Callithrix jacchus: one gene and its partners. The protein of the gene in region 1 interacts with the protein of each later gene in a pairwise test. Links are inferred from orthologs where the notes say so. Each region holds a gene or a part of one and is shown in the gene's direction. Other genes may lie near its edges.

What was found.
Region 2: the proteins of CCDC33 (region 1) and FAM124A interact in a two-hybrid assay, tested with the Homo sapiens proteins (2 studies listed by BioGRID and IntAct). The two-hybrid records come from large-scale screens. The link is inferred for Callithrix jacchus from reciprocal best matches to the Homo sapiens genes CCDC33 and FAM124A.
Region 3: the proteins of CCDC33 (region 1) and PPP2R3C interact in a two-hybrid assay, tested with the Homo sapiens proteins (2 studies listed by BioGRID and IntAct). The two-hybrid records come from large-scale screens. The link is inferred for Callithrix jacchus from reciprocal best matches to the Homo sapiens genes CCDC33 and PPP2R3C.

Annotation. Positions count from the first base shown.
Region 1 is NC_133509.1:21,106,427-21,110,079, forward strand, and holds part of CCDC33 (coiled-coil domain-containing protein 33), read left to right. Parts: exon of another isoform or gene 1-237; intron 238-475; exon of another isoform or gene 476-1,802; coding exon 1,803-1,912; intron 1,913-3,653.
Region 2 is NC_133502.1:64,698,177-64,701,829, reverse strand, and holds part of FAM124A (protein FAM124A), read left to right. Parts: intron 1-970; coding exon 971-1,704; intron 1,705-3,653.
Region 3 is NC_133509.1:69,573,555-69,577,207, reverse strand, and holds part of PPP2R3C (serine/threonine-protein phosphatase 2A regulatory subunit B'' subunit gamma), read left to right. Parts: intron 1-605; coding exon 606-710; intron 711-1,287; coding exon 1,288-1,400; intron 1,401-2,937; coding exon 2,938-3,035; intron 3,036-3,653. UniProt on the Homo sapiens protein: May regulate MCM3AP phosphorylation through phosphatase recruitment. May act as a negative regulator of ABCB1 expression and function through the dephosphorylation of ABCB1 by TFPI2/PPP2R3C complex.

The DNA of each region.
Region 1 (3,653 bases):
ATGACTTCTTTATTAAAGTCTTAACATGTGGAAGAGGAGGAACATAAAGCTGAAAGAGGCTAAAAGATTTGCTGACAGTCGCAGAGCAAGTTAGTGTCTTGATACTAGAACCCAGGTCTGCTGACTTCAAATCCCTTTCCTCAGCCTCCTTTCTTCAAGCCAATCTCAACACCTTCGGTGCCCTTTCCCCCTTCTTTCCTTTGAGCACATATCCCATGTGGCCAGCTCTTGAGATAGCTGTGGGGAAGACAGAGAAAGGAAGAATACTTAACAAAACCCTCAGCTTCCTTCTCAAAATGACCCATCCAGTTCCAAATGACCCAGCCGCAGAGCCCTCAAGGGTCGGCTGCTGTCCCTGGTGCTGAAATCTCTTGTCTCAAGAGAAGCAGAGGGCAAGGGGCTCCTTCTCCCTCAGGCACACCTCTCTGCCCCATCCTCCATTTCCTATTCTTCTCTGTTTTGTATCATTTCTTACCCCATCTTTCTCATTTGTTCTCCATTCCTCCTCTATCCTTCTCCTTCTTTTCTCCCCATCTCTTCTTCCTCCTCAAATCATAGGTTTCTAGAATAGACAGATGCCTTGAGTGTCACCAAATGTAACCCTTCCCATCATCTGCTTTCCAGATGTGTGATGGTGATCAAGTTATATAACCCTCTGAGCCCCACTGCTCATATTTTAAGAAGAGAGATGATAATACCCACCTGAGGGGTTGTGGTGAGAATTCATTAGAATCATGGCTGAGAAATGCCCATCCCCATGCCTGGCACATAGTAGATGCTCACTAAATAATCATGGCAGTCCTGCCCACTAAACAGCACTGGCATGATTATTTATAGATTGGTGTTCTCCTTAAAGCTTATACTGGCCAGGCACAATGGCTCATGCCTGTAATCCCAGCACTTTGGGAGGCCGAGGTGGATGGATCAGCTGAAGTCAGGAGTTCGAGACCAGCCTGGCCAACATGGCAAAACGTTGTCTCTACTGAAAATACAAAAATTAGCTAAGCATGGTGGCGAGTGCCTGTAATCCCAGCTACTTGGGAGGCTGAGGCAGAAGAATCACTTGACCCAAGGAGGCGGAGGTGGCAGTGAGCCAAGATCGTGCCACCGCACTCCAGCCTGGGTGACAAAGTGAGACTCTGTCTCAAAAAAAAAAGTTTATACCAACGTTCATGCCGTTTCATGAGATAATATAGTCTCTTTGGAGGGTGTTTACCAAGTGGTCCATTGTTCTTAGTATTTAGACCAGTTTTCTCTGACTCGCAGTAGACTTTTATTGATAGCTGTATTAAAGGATTTATTGAGCAAATCACTTTTTCCAACTGAAATTCAGTTTCTCCACCTGCAACATGTGTGAGATAGTCTCTCCCCATCCTTGTGCCATCAAGAGCTGGCATAAGTGTTTGTGACCAAGGAAAGGAGTCTTATTCCTGGAAAGAAGTGCTATGCCTGTTTGCCTGTGTACTCAATGTGTGCACATGTGTGTCTGTTGTCACAGGGGACTGGACTCAGTTCTGTGTGTGTCTGTCTCTGGGCTGGGATTCTCTAGGCCACAGGAGAAAATGGCATGTTGGGGTCCTAACAGCAGCTGGCATGGAGCCTCACCCTGTGCAGGGGCTCAGACTGTGCTTGTGGGTTTGTATGCACAGGGGTGATCCACATGCGTGCATGCATGTTGATTTACCCGTGTGGCCCCTGCTCTCTACTCTTGGTGATGTCTCTCACCTCTCACTGTCTCTCCTTACTGGGAGGGAAAGGGGTCCATTTAAAACTGAATCTGTGCTCATTTCTTCTTTTTCCAGATGTGATCCTCAAGGTGGTAGACAACAAACAGAAAGAGGAGTTGTTGTCCTACAAAATACCCATCAAGAACCTGCGTGTCTTCCACCCCTACCACTTTGAGCTGGTGAAGGTGAGTCAGAGGCTTGAGGAAGTACAGGGAGAGCAGGTGAGAACCACCTTGATGCCCCCAGCTTTTGCCTCAGAGCAGCCCTGGGCATCACACCCACCCACAGCATGACAAGTCTAGGACCAGGTGGGGCTCAAGAAACACAGCTCCTGGAGAACGATCCAAGATGGCTGATCGCTAACATCTCGGGATTGCAGCTCCCAGTAAAAGTGCAGAGAACGAGAGGATGCCACACTTTCAGACAAAATTTTGTCACTCACAGACCAGAAGATTCCCAGTGGAGGAGCCCCACGGGTCGCCAGCACAACTCTTGTAGCCAGCCCAGCAGTTTTGCTGGTACCTCGGCATGGCAGCTCTTGGTGCAGAGTAAATGGGACTGGTTCCCCTTCTGACCAATGTTTGGAGCTCTGGGAAGGCAGAGTCACCCATTACAGACTTAAGAAGGAAGCCAGACTGGAGATTCCCAGGCAGAAGAGCACCATCAGTCTTATCGCTGCTGTTTTGTCCGGCGCAGTGGGTTGCTCAGATTTCAGCCCTGGGAATTAACAACTTGGATGTCCACTCAGAGACCTAATTTGAAAGTTGATAATTACAAAGACAACAGGTGGATAAATTTACAATGATGGGAAGAAACCAGCATAAAAAGGCTGAGAATACTCAAAATCAGAACACCTCTCCCTCTAAAGAGGATCACAGTTCCTCATCAACAAGGGAACAAGGCTTGATGGAGAACGAGTGCATCCCATTAACAGAATCAGGCTTCAGAAGGTGGATAATAAGAAACTTCTGTGAGTTAAAAGAACATGTTGTAGCCCAATGTAAGGAAACTAAGAACTTTGAAAAAAGGTTTGACGAAATCCTAATGAGAATAGACAACTTAGAGAGGAATATAAGTGAATTAATGGAACTGAAGAATACAATGCAGGAACTCCAAGAAGTATGCACAGGTTTAAACACTCAAATTGATCAAGCAGAAGAAAGGATATCAGAGGTTGAAGACCAACTTAATGAAATAAAATGAGAAGACAAGAAGAGAGAAAAAAGGATAAAAAGGAATGAGCAAAGTCTCCAAGAAATATGGGACTATGTGAAAAGACCTAATTTATGTTTGATAGGTGTACCTGAATATGACGGAGAGAATGAGTCCAACCTGGAAAATACTCTTCAGGATATTATTCAGGAAAACTTTCCAAACTTAGCAAAGCAAGACAATATTCAACCCCAGGTAATACAGAGAACACCACAAAGATATTCCTCAAGAAGAGCAACCCCAAGGCACATAATCGTTAGATTCACCAGGGTTGAAACAAAGGAGAAAATACTAAGGGCAGCCAGAGAGAAAGGTCAGGTTACCCACAAAGGGAAGCCTATCAGACTTACAACAGATCTCTCAGCAGAAACCCTACAAGCCAGAAGAGAGTGGGGGCCAATATTCAACATCCTTAAAGAACAGAACTTTCAGTCCAGAATTTCATATCCAGCCAAACTAAGCTTCACAACTGAAGGAAAAATAAAATCTTTTATGAACAAGCAAGTACTCAGAGATTTTATTACCACCAGGCCTGCTTTACAAGAGCTTCTGAAAGAAGCATTACACATAGAAAGAAACAACCAGTATTAGCCTTTCTAAAAATATACCAAAAAGTAAAGAGCATCAACATAAAGAAGAATTTACATCAACGAATGGATAAAACAGCCAGTTAACATCAAATGGCAGTAATCCTAAATTTAAATCAACTAAATC
Region 2 (3,653 bases), on another chromosome or scaffold:
GCCAAGTGTGGCCAAAACACTGTCACCCCCTGAGAAAGTGTTGCCAAGTTAAACAGTCAACTTCACGTTTGGAATTCAATACTTTCAGGTGTTCTGCCAGAGAACACAGGGAGGGTGTAACCGACCCATTCAAGATGTGTGGGCTTCTGGGTGGATGTGGCCCAGCAAGGGGCACAAAAGGCAGCCTTTCATGGGCAGTCATGGTCTCACCCTGCTTTCCTTCCACCCTAACCTCAGCCCCAGTAAGCTCCAACAGCAAGAACACTGTGCTTGGCTCCAGGGGTCATCCTTCCCTGTGTCTCCAGCAGCAAGATGATCATGGCCAGGCCCCCACAATAGAGGGCACTGTGGGCAGGACTCATCACCAGCCAGAGTATCACCTGTCCATAGAGTAAGCCCCAGGGGGCAAGCACAGGTCTCTCCTGTCCTCCATCATTCACCTTGTGCCTCACTCCCTGTAAGGCAGTTAGGAAGGAGCCCATGAGCGTGTGTTAACAAAATAAACAAACGAAATAAGCAAACCAGAGGAATGTGTTGGTGTAGGGAACATGAATGGGGTAAGGCCCTGCAGTTATTTCAGGAAATTCTAAATGGTGTCCACAAGATGCTATGGCATCTTCTCTAATGGGCCTGCTAGTCCAAGTCACTAGACTTGACTTTTTATATGTCCAATATGTAAATATAAAGTCACATGTTCCCTATACCACTCAACCTGATGAAATACAGCAACAAGGTTCTCCTCCCCTCTCCAGCTTGGAGACTATTCAGGTAGCAATAGTCCTTTCCTCTTTGGCTGCTAGGGTGTTGGCATAGTAGTTTTTACAGGTAAACTTGGAATCAGAAAATCCCACGTCTTGGAGTCAATTCAGTTGAATTTGACTTCTCTGTCAAGCCTGTACATGTCATCACTGAACACTTTAATGAAATAATCATAATTGTATTCATTCATTCATTTTCCGTGTGCCCCCAGGTGAGCTTTCCGTGGAAGAGGCGCAGGACCCTTTCCTGGTCAGCATCCACATAATCGCAGACCCAGGGGAGTCCCAGCCCCTGCAGGAGGCCATCGACAAGGTCTTGGCGTGGATCCACCCGGACCTCCCGCTGTTCCGAGTGTCCGAGAGGCGGGCCTGCCGGCGGCGGCGAAAGCCCCCCAAGGGCTCACAGCCAGCGCTGGCCGTGGTGCTGTTCCTGCAGGAGGAGTACGGCGAGGAGCAGATCCTGCAGTTACACCGGACGCTGCAGCAGCCGCCCTGGCGCCACCACCACACGGAGCGCGTGCACGGCCGGTTCCTGCCCTACCTGCCCTGCAGCCAAGACTTCTTCACGCTGGCCCCTGGGACGCCACTGTGGGCCATCCGGCCGGTGCACTACGGCAAGGAAATCGTGCGCTTCACGGTCTACTGTCGCCACGACAACTACACCGACAGCCTCAGGTTCTACGAGCTGATTCTCCGGAGGAGCCCCAGCCAGAAGAAAGTGGACTTCTGCATCTTCCCTATTTTCTCCAATCTGGATGTGGACATCCAGTTCTCCCTGAAAAGACTGCCCTGTGACCAGAGCCCGGTGCCCACCGACTCGTCCGTGCTGGAGTTCCGAGTGAGGGACATCGGTGAGCTCGTGCCTCTCCTGCCCAACCCTTGCAGCCCCATTAGCGAGGGACGCTGGCAGACGGAGGACCACGATGGGAACAAGATCCTCCTGCAGGTACTGGGGGGATGCCTGTCTGTCTGTTTAGGGGACCAGAGAAACAAGTCAGTTAGCTCTGCCTCAAACCCTATAGTACCAGTCACAGAGCAATGAACAAGGAAACAGAGATCAGTGACCCTCTGCCCAGCTCCTAGGCCAAGTCAAAGTGGCCATACTGGACCTCAACAAAAGAGGGGGCACGAAAGACTCTCCCCATTGGTTCTTTTCATTTCACTGTCAGCAAACATGCTCCCAATTTTTCCAGGTGCCCCTCTATCATTCCCTATTGAGCATCCACTAAACACCCATGGCTCCTGGGGATTTCAAATGAGCTTATAAGTGAGGGAATTTGCTATTAAAGATTCCTGAACATATGCCCATGCACTTAGACTGTTTTTACACTGGATTCTTCCCTCCCACCAAGGAACTTCAGGAAAGCCCATCTATCTGGAAATGTTAAAATATATATTGATCTTCATAGAGGAGATAGCTGTTCTCTTCCTTCGGGTGCCTCCCCCTCCTTCTACTCTTGCACCCTTCTGCTGGGCAGCAGGTTGTTGAAATCTTGTGATCCCTTGGAAAATTATGCCCTCTTAAACATTTTTGGGAGTAAGTACTGCCTTGGGAGCTTCTGGTTTCACTCAGCTTGGAGGGGGTGAGTGAATGCATTTTAAGGACAGTAGGCGCCCTAGTCCTTCCACGGTGAACTCTTTAGCTGCATTATCAGCCTCCTTTCTCCTCTCATCCTTTCAGTGGCTGTCCCAGACTCATTAGATATAATTAGTTATACTCAATTCAAAATTCAGCATGTATATTACAGAACATCCGACATCTGGTCCTACATGATAAATGCTTTCCAGACCCAATCTTTCTTGATTTAACAAGTAAATCAGTTCCAGGAGTACAGGGCTTCATTTTTCTGAAAAGCATCTACCCCTGATTTCTCAGTTTTCACATTTGGCTACCCTAAAAGAGAAAGTTGATAGTGAACTGGGGACATTGCCTTAAGAGGCACAGATTGTGGTTACTTGAATCACAGGTAAAGTTTCATCATTTTTGTTGGTTTTGGCTTTAAGCACCAGAACTGTAATCCACATATCATGAAATGAAGTCAGAATTTGGCACATGTCAGATAACTGGTTCAGACTACAGCCAGGCCTCATTTCTCATAAGAAAGGTCACCTTGAGATCTTATTTATAGGAACTAGATAATTTTCAGACTTCCATTTGAACTATGCAGATAAGGAACTTTTATTATTCAATAAGCTGGATGCTAGTGTTTACGCTATAATCCCTTTTGAAATGTGAGAAAAATTGTCTTGTGTTTGAAGAATGCCAAATCTTTATGCAAAATATAATACAGTCACACCAAATGAAAGTTAATGAAATGCAAAGGATATTGTTTATACTAAAAGACCAAAAAGAATGTGACTGTTTCTGAAGTGACTTCTTTCTTTTTGCAGTAATTAGAGCACTTTTTCCCCTGATCCTTCTAATAAGATAAATAAGAAAATGCAGTATGAAAACTTGGCCTGGGTTCTGCTCAAAGGAACCATGGAAAGAATATTTCAAAGAAGATGCACACATTTAAATTGATAAAATCTATACAGGTGCAGGCTTTTGAAGTTAGAGCAACAGAGTGTGAAAGAGTAGAAAAAAGATCTGTATCTTGGGACTCAGGAATGCAGCCTTTGTTCAAATAGTAATATTGAGGAATTAATGTGGGCAGAAAGGATGCATGACCTCCTCTCCCAGGATTCCTGGTAATGGCCATTCAAGCAGGTTCCTGTTCAGCTGCCTCAGTGCAGATACCTAGCATGAGATCCACACCTGCCCATCTCTGTAAGTTACTTTCCAGAGTAAAAATTTGTATTTCAGTCTTCAGTGAAATTAAGGTAGTTAGGTCTTGGTGGGAGGAACAGTTGAGTGTGAACCTTTTTATCCACATTCTCTTTAGCAGTGTGTCT
Region 3 (3,653 bases), about 48 Mb from region 1:
AAATTAGCTGGGCATGGTGGTGCGTGCCTGTAATCCCAGCTACTCAGGAGGTTGAGGCAAGAGAATTGCCTGAATCCAGGAGGCAGAGGTTGCGGTGAGCCGAGATCGCGCATTGCACTGCAGCCTAGGTAACAAGAGCGAAACTCCGTCTCAAAAAGTAATAATAATAATTATTATTATTATAATAAATAAAATACATAAAAAATAAGAACAAGGTAGAGTTGGTTAGATCAGGTCTCTTTCACTGTCTTCATTTTCTATTATAATTTTTGCAAAGGTAGTTTTAAAACTGTCAGTCTTCAGTTAATCCTCATTTAATTCTATATCATTCTAAGGTGACAATAGAAATACAGTGCTTTAAGAAAATAAAATGAAACTTGGACTAGACTAACATTTAAAATAGTTTTTTTCAGGGCAGAGATCCAGCCTTGCTGATCACTGATTCTCTGTGGATCACTTTTTGTTAAACAAATGTTAAGCACAATTAAGGTGAAATACAAAAAATAATTTGAGGCAGTGGCAGACAGTTATTTTATTAGCCACATACACTTTACAGGATCCAGTAGTCTAAAATTCACATGTAGAAATTTACGTTGTATTTTTAGCTGCCTGCTGAAGATGAAGTCTTACTGCAGAAATTAAGAGAGGAATCAAGAGCTGTCTTTCTACAAAGAAAAAGCAGAGAACTGTTAGATAATGAAGAATTGCAGGTAAGAACAGAGCAAAACGTTGCTTTAGATGTTAACCATTTCTTATTTGTACTGCTTAAATCATGTAGGATTTCTTGGTGCCTAATGGAGTCAGTACTGCAGAGTGGTACTGCATAGGCTCTGAAGCAGCAGTTCCCACCAGAAGCAGCTGCTGAGTTTGCATAGGTCATGTCTCCCAAACACAGTGTTTGTTGTTTTTGTTAAAGGCCCTAGGTGATTCTAATATACAGCCAAGGTTGAAAACCACTGCTGTAGGGTCAGACTACAGAGGTTCAAATCCCAGTCCTGTTATGTGACTTTAGGCAATGGACTTAACATCTGTGGGCTTCAATTATAATCTGTAAAGTAGGGATAGTTAACCATATTATAGAGTTAAGTGGTTTAAAGAGGCAGTGTATATCAGAAGCTTGGTAGGCACTCAATAAATGTGATTTTTATTAGTAATGAAAAGGATAATAGGGCATGATTCATTTTAATATTGACTTTGCTAACTATCATTTTAGTGGAAAGCATGCATTTAACTACATTTTAAAATCTTGTTAACTTATAACGTCTTCATTCCCACAATTCTCTTAAGAACTTGTGGTTTTTGCTGGACAAACACCAGACACCACCTATGATTGGAGAGGAAGCGATGATCAATTATGAAAATTTTTTGAAGGTTGGTGAAAAGTCTGGAGCAAAGTGCAAGTAAGAATAATATAATTTACAAAGAAGTGTGTTATGTTAAGCATTTTAAATGCCTCAAATATTGGCCAGGCACTGTGGCTCATACCTATAATCCCAACACTGTCAGAGGCTGAAGTGGGAGGATCGCTTGAGCTTGAGTGTTTGAGACCAGCCTGGGCAACTTAGGGAGATCTTGTCTCTACTAAAAATCAAAAAATTATCAGTGTGGGAACATCTGCCTGTAACTGCTTGGGAGGCTGAGGTGGGAGAATTGCTTGAGCCCAGGAGGATGAGCTGTGTGATTCAGCCACTGCACTCTATCCTGGGTGACAGAGCAAGACCCCATCTTTAAAAAAAATAAATAAAGCCTCAAATATTTGAAGTCAGTGGTATGACATTTCAGTCAATTTAAGTGATTAATGAAATTTACAGTGAAAAAAATCACATTGGTATGAAGTTATTAAAAGAAATAATGTAGTTTATGACACTTTCAGCCTTCATTCTTAAGACAGAAGAAACCAAACATAAAAGAATGCAAGGCCACGCACTGTGGCTCACATGCCCATCTCTGCAAAATATAAACAAAAAAGACCGGGCACAGTGGCTCACGCTTATAATCCCAGCACTTTGGGAGACTGAGGTGGGTGGATCATGAGGTCAGGAGTTCAAGACCAGCCTGGCCAAGATGGTGAAACCTCATTTCTACTAAAAATACAAAAATTAGCCGGACATAGTGCTGGGTGCTTGTAATCCCAGCTACTCGGGAGGCTGAGGCAGAGAATTGCTTGAACCTGGGAGGCAGAGAATTGCTTGAACTTAGGAGGCAGAAGTTTCAGTAAGCCAAGATCGCTCCACTGCACTCCAGCCTAGGTGACACAGGGAGACTCCATCTCAAAAAAAAAAAAAAAAAAAAGAATGCAAAGATTTATGACTTAGGCTGGGCATGGTGCCTCACATTTGTAACTCCAGTGCTTTGGGAGGCCAAGGCAGGTGGATCACTTGAGGCTGGGCATTCAAGATCAGTCTGGGCAACAGAGAATATCCTCATTTCTTTTTTCTAAAGAAAGTATGACTTAATACTTTAAGTTTTTTTTTTTTGTTTGTTTTTTTAATTTTGTTTTGTTGAGACAGTCTCGCTCTGTTGCCCAGGCAGGAGTGCAGTGGCACAATCTCGGCTCACTGCAACCTCTGCCTCCTGGGTTCAAGCAATTCTCTTGCCTCAGCCTCCTGAGTAGCTGGGACTGCAGGCAGATGCCGCCATCTGGTTAATTATTTTTTTGTAATTTTTTAGTAGAGACAGGGTTTCACCATGTTGCCTAGGCTGTTGGTGAACTCCTGAGCTCAGGCAGTTCACCTGCCTCAGCTTCCCAATATGCCAGGATTACAGGCGTGAGCCACCACACCTGGCCAATATTAAGTTTTTGAATTATAAGCAGTCTCTGTTGTTCTTACTTTCATCTTTAATTATATGAATTTATGTCATTGTTTGCTAATTTATGTAGAAGTCATTTTTCTGTTATGTTGGCAGATCATTTAAATCTTTATTTTCTTTTCTTAGGCAATTTTTCACAGCAAAAGTCTTCGCTAAACTCCTTCATACAGATTCATATGGAAGAATTTCCATCATGCAGTTCTTTAATTATGTCATGAGGAAAGGTGATTCATTTTTATTGTCATCAGGGAATCAAGTAGGTTTTTGGTCTGTGCCTTTGTAAGTACTTCTTCCATGTGAAATCACTGTAAGTTTGCATAGTAGAATTTCTTATCTTTCTTTGAGATATTTCACTCTGTCACCCAGGCTGGAGTGCAACTCGATCTCTGCTCACTGCAACCCACGCCTCCTGGGTTCAAGCTATTTTCCTGCCTCAGCCCCCCAAGTAGCTGGGACTACAGGTGCATACCACCATGCCTCACTAATTTTTTGTACTTTTAGTAGAGGTGGGGTTTTAGAGTGTTAGCCAGGATGGTCTCAATCTCCTGACCTTGTGATCCACTCGTCTCGGACTCCCAAAGTGCTGGAATTACAGGTGTGAGCCACCACACCTGGCTGAATTTCTTGTCTTTTCACCAAGATATATTACATTGTTGTTGAGTCTCTTGTGGAGCTTACTAGAAGCTGTGATTTTTTTTTTTTTAACTATAAACTTGGGTTAGTATAAAAAACAAAACTTTTTTAAACCCTCATGTATCTTAAAGATAGTAGTAGACTAGAAATATTAAGAGCTGAGCCAAGAGTTTTGATGTATGGTTATTTGAAATAATTTTAATTTACTG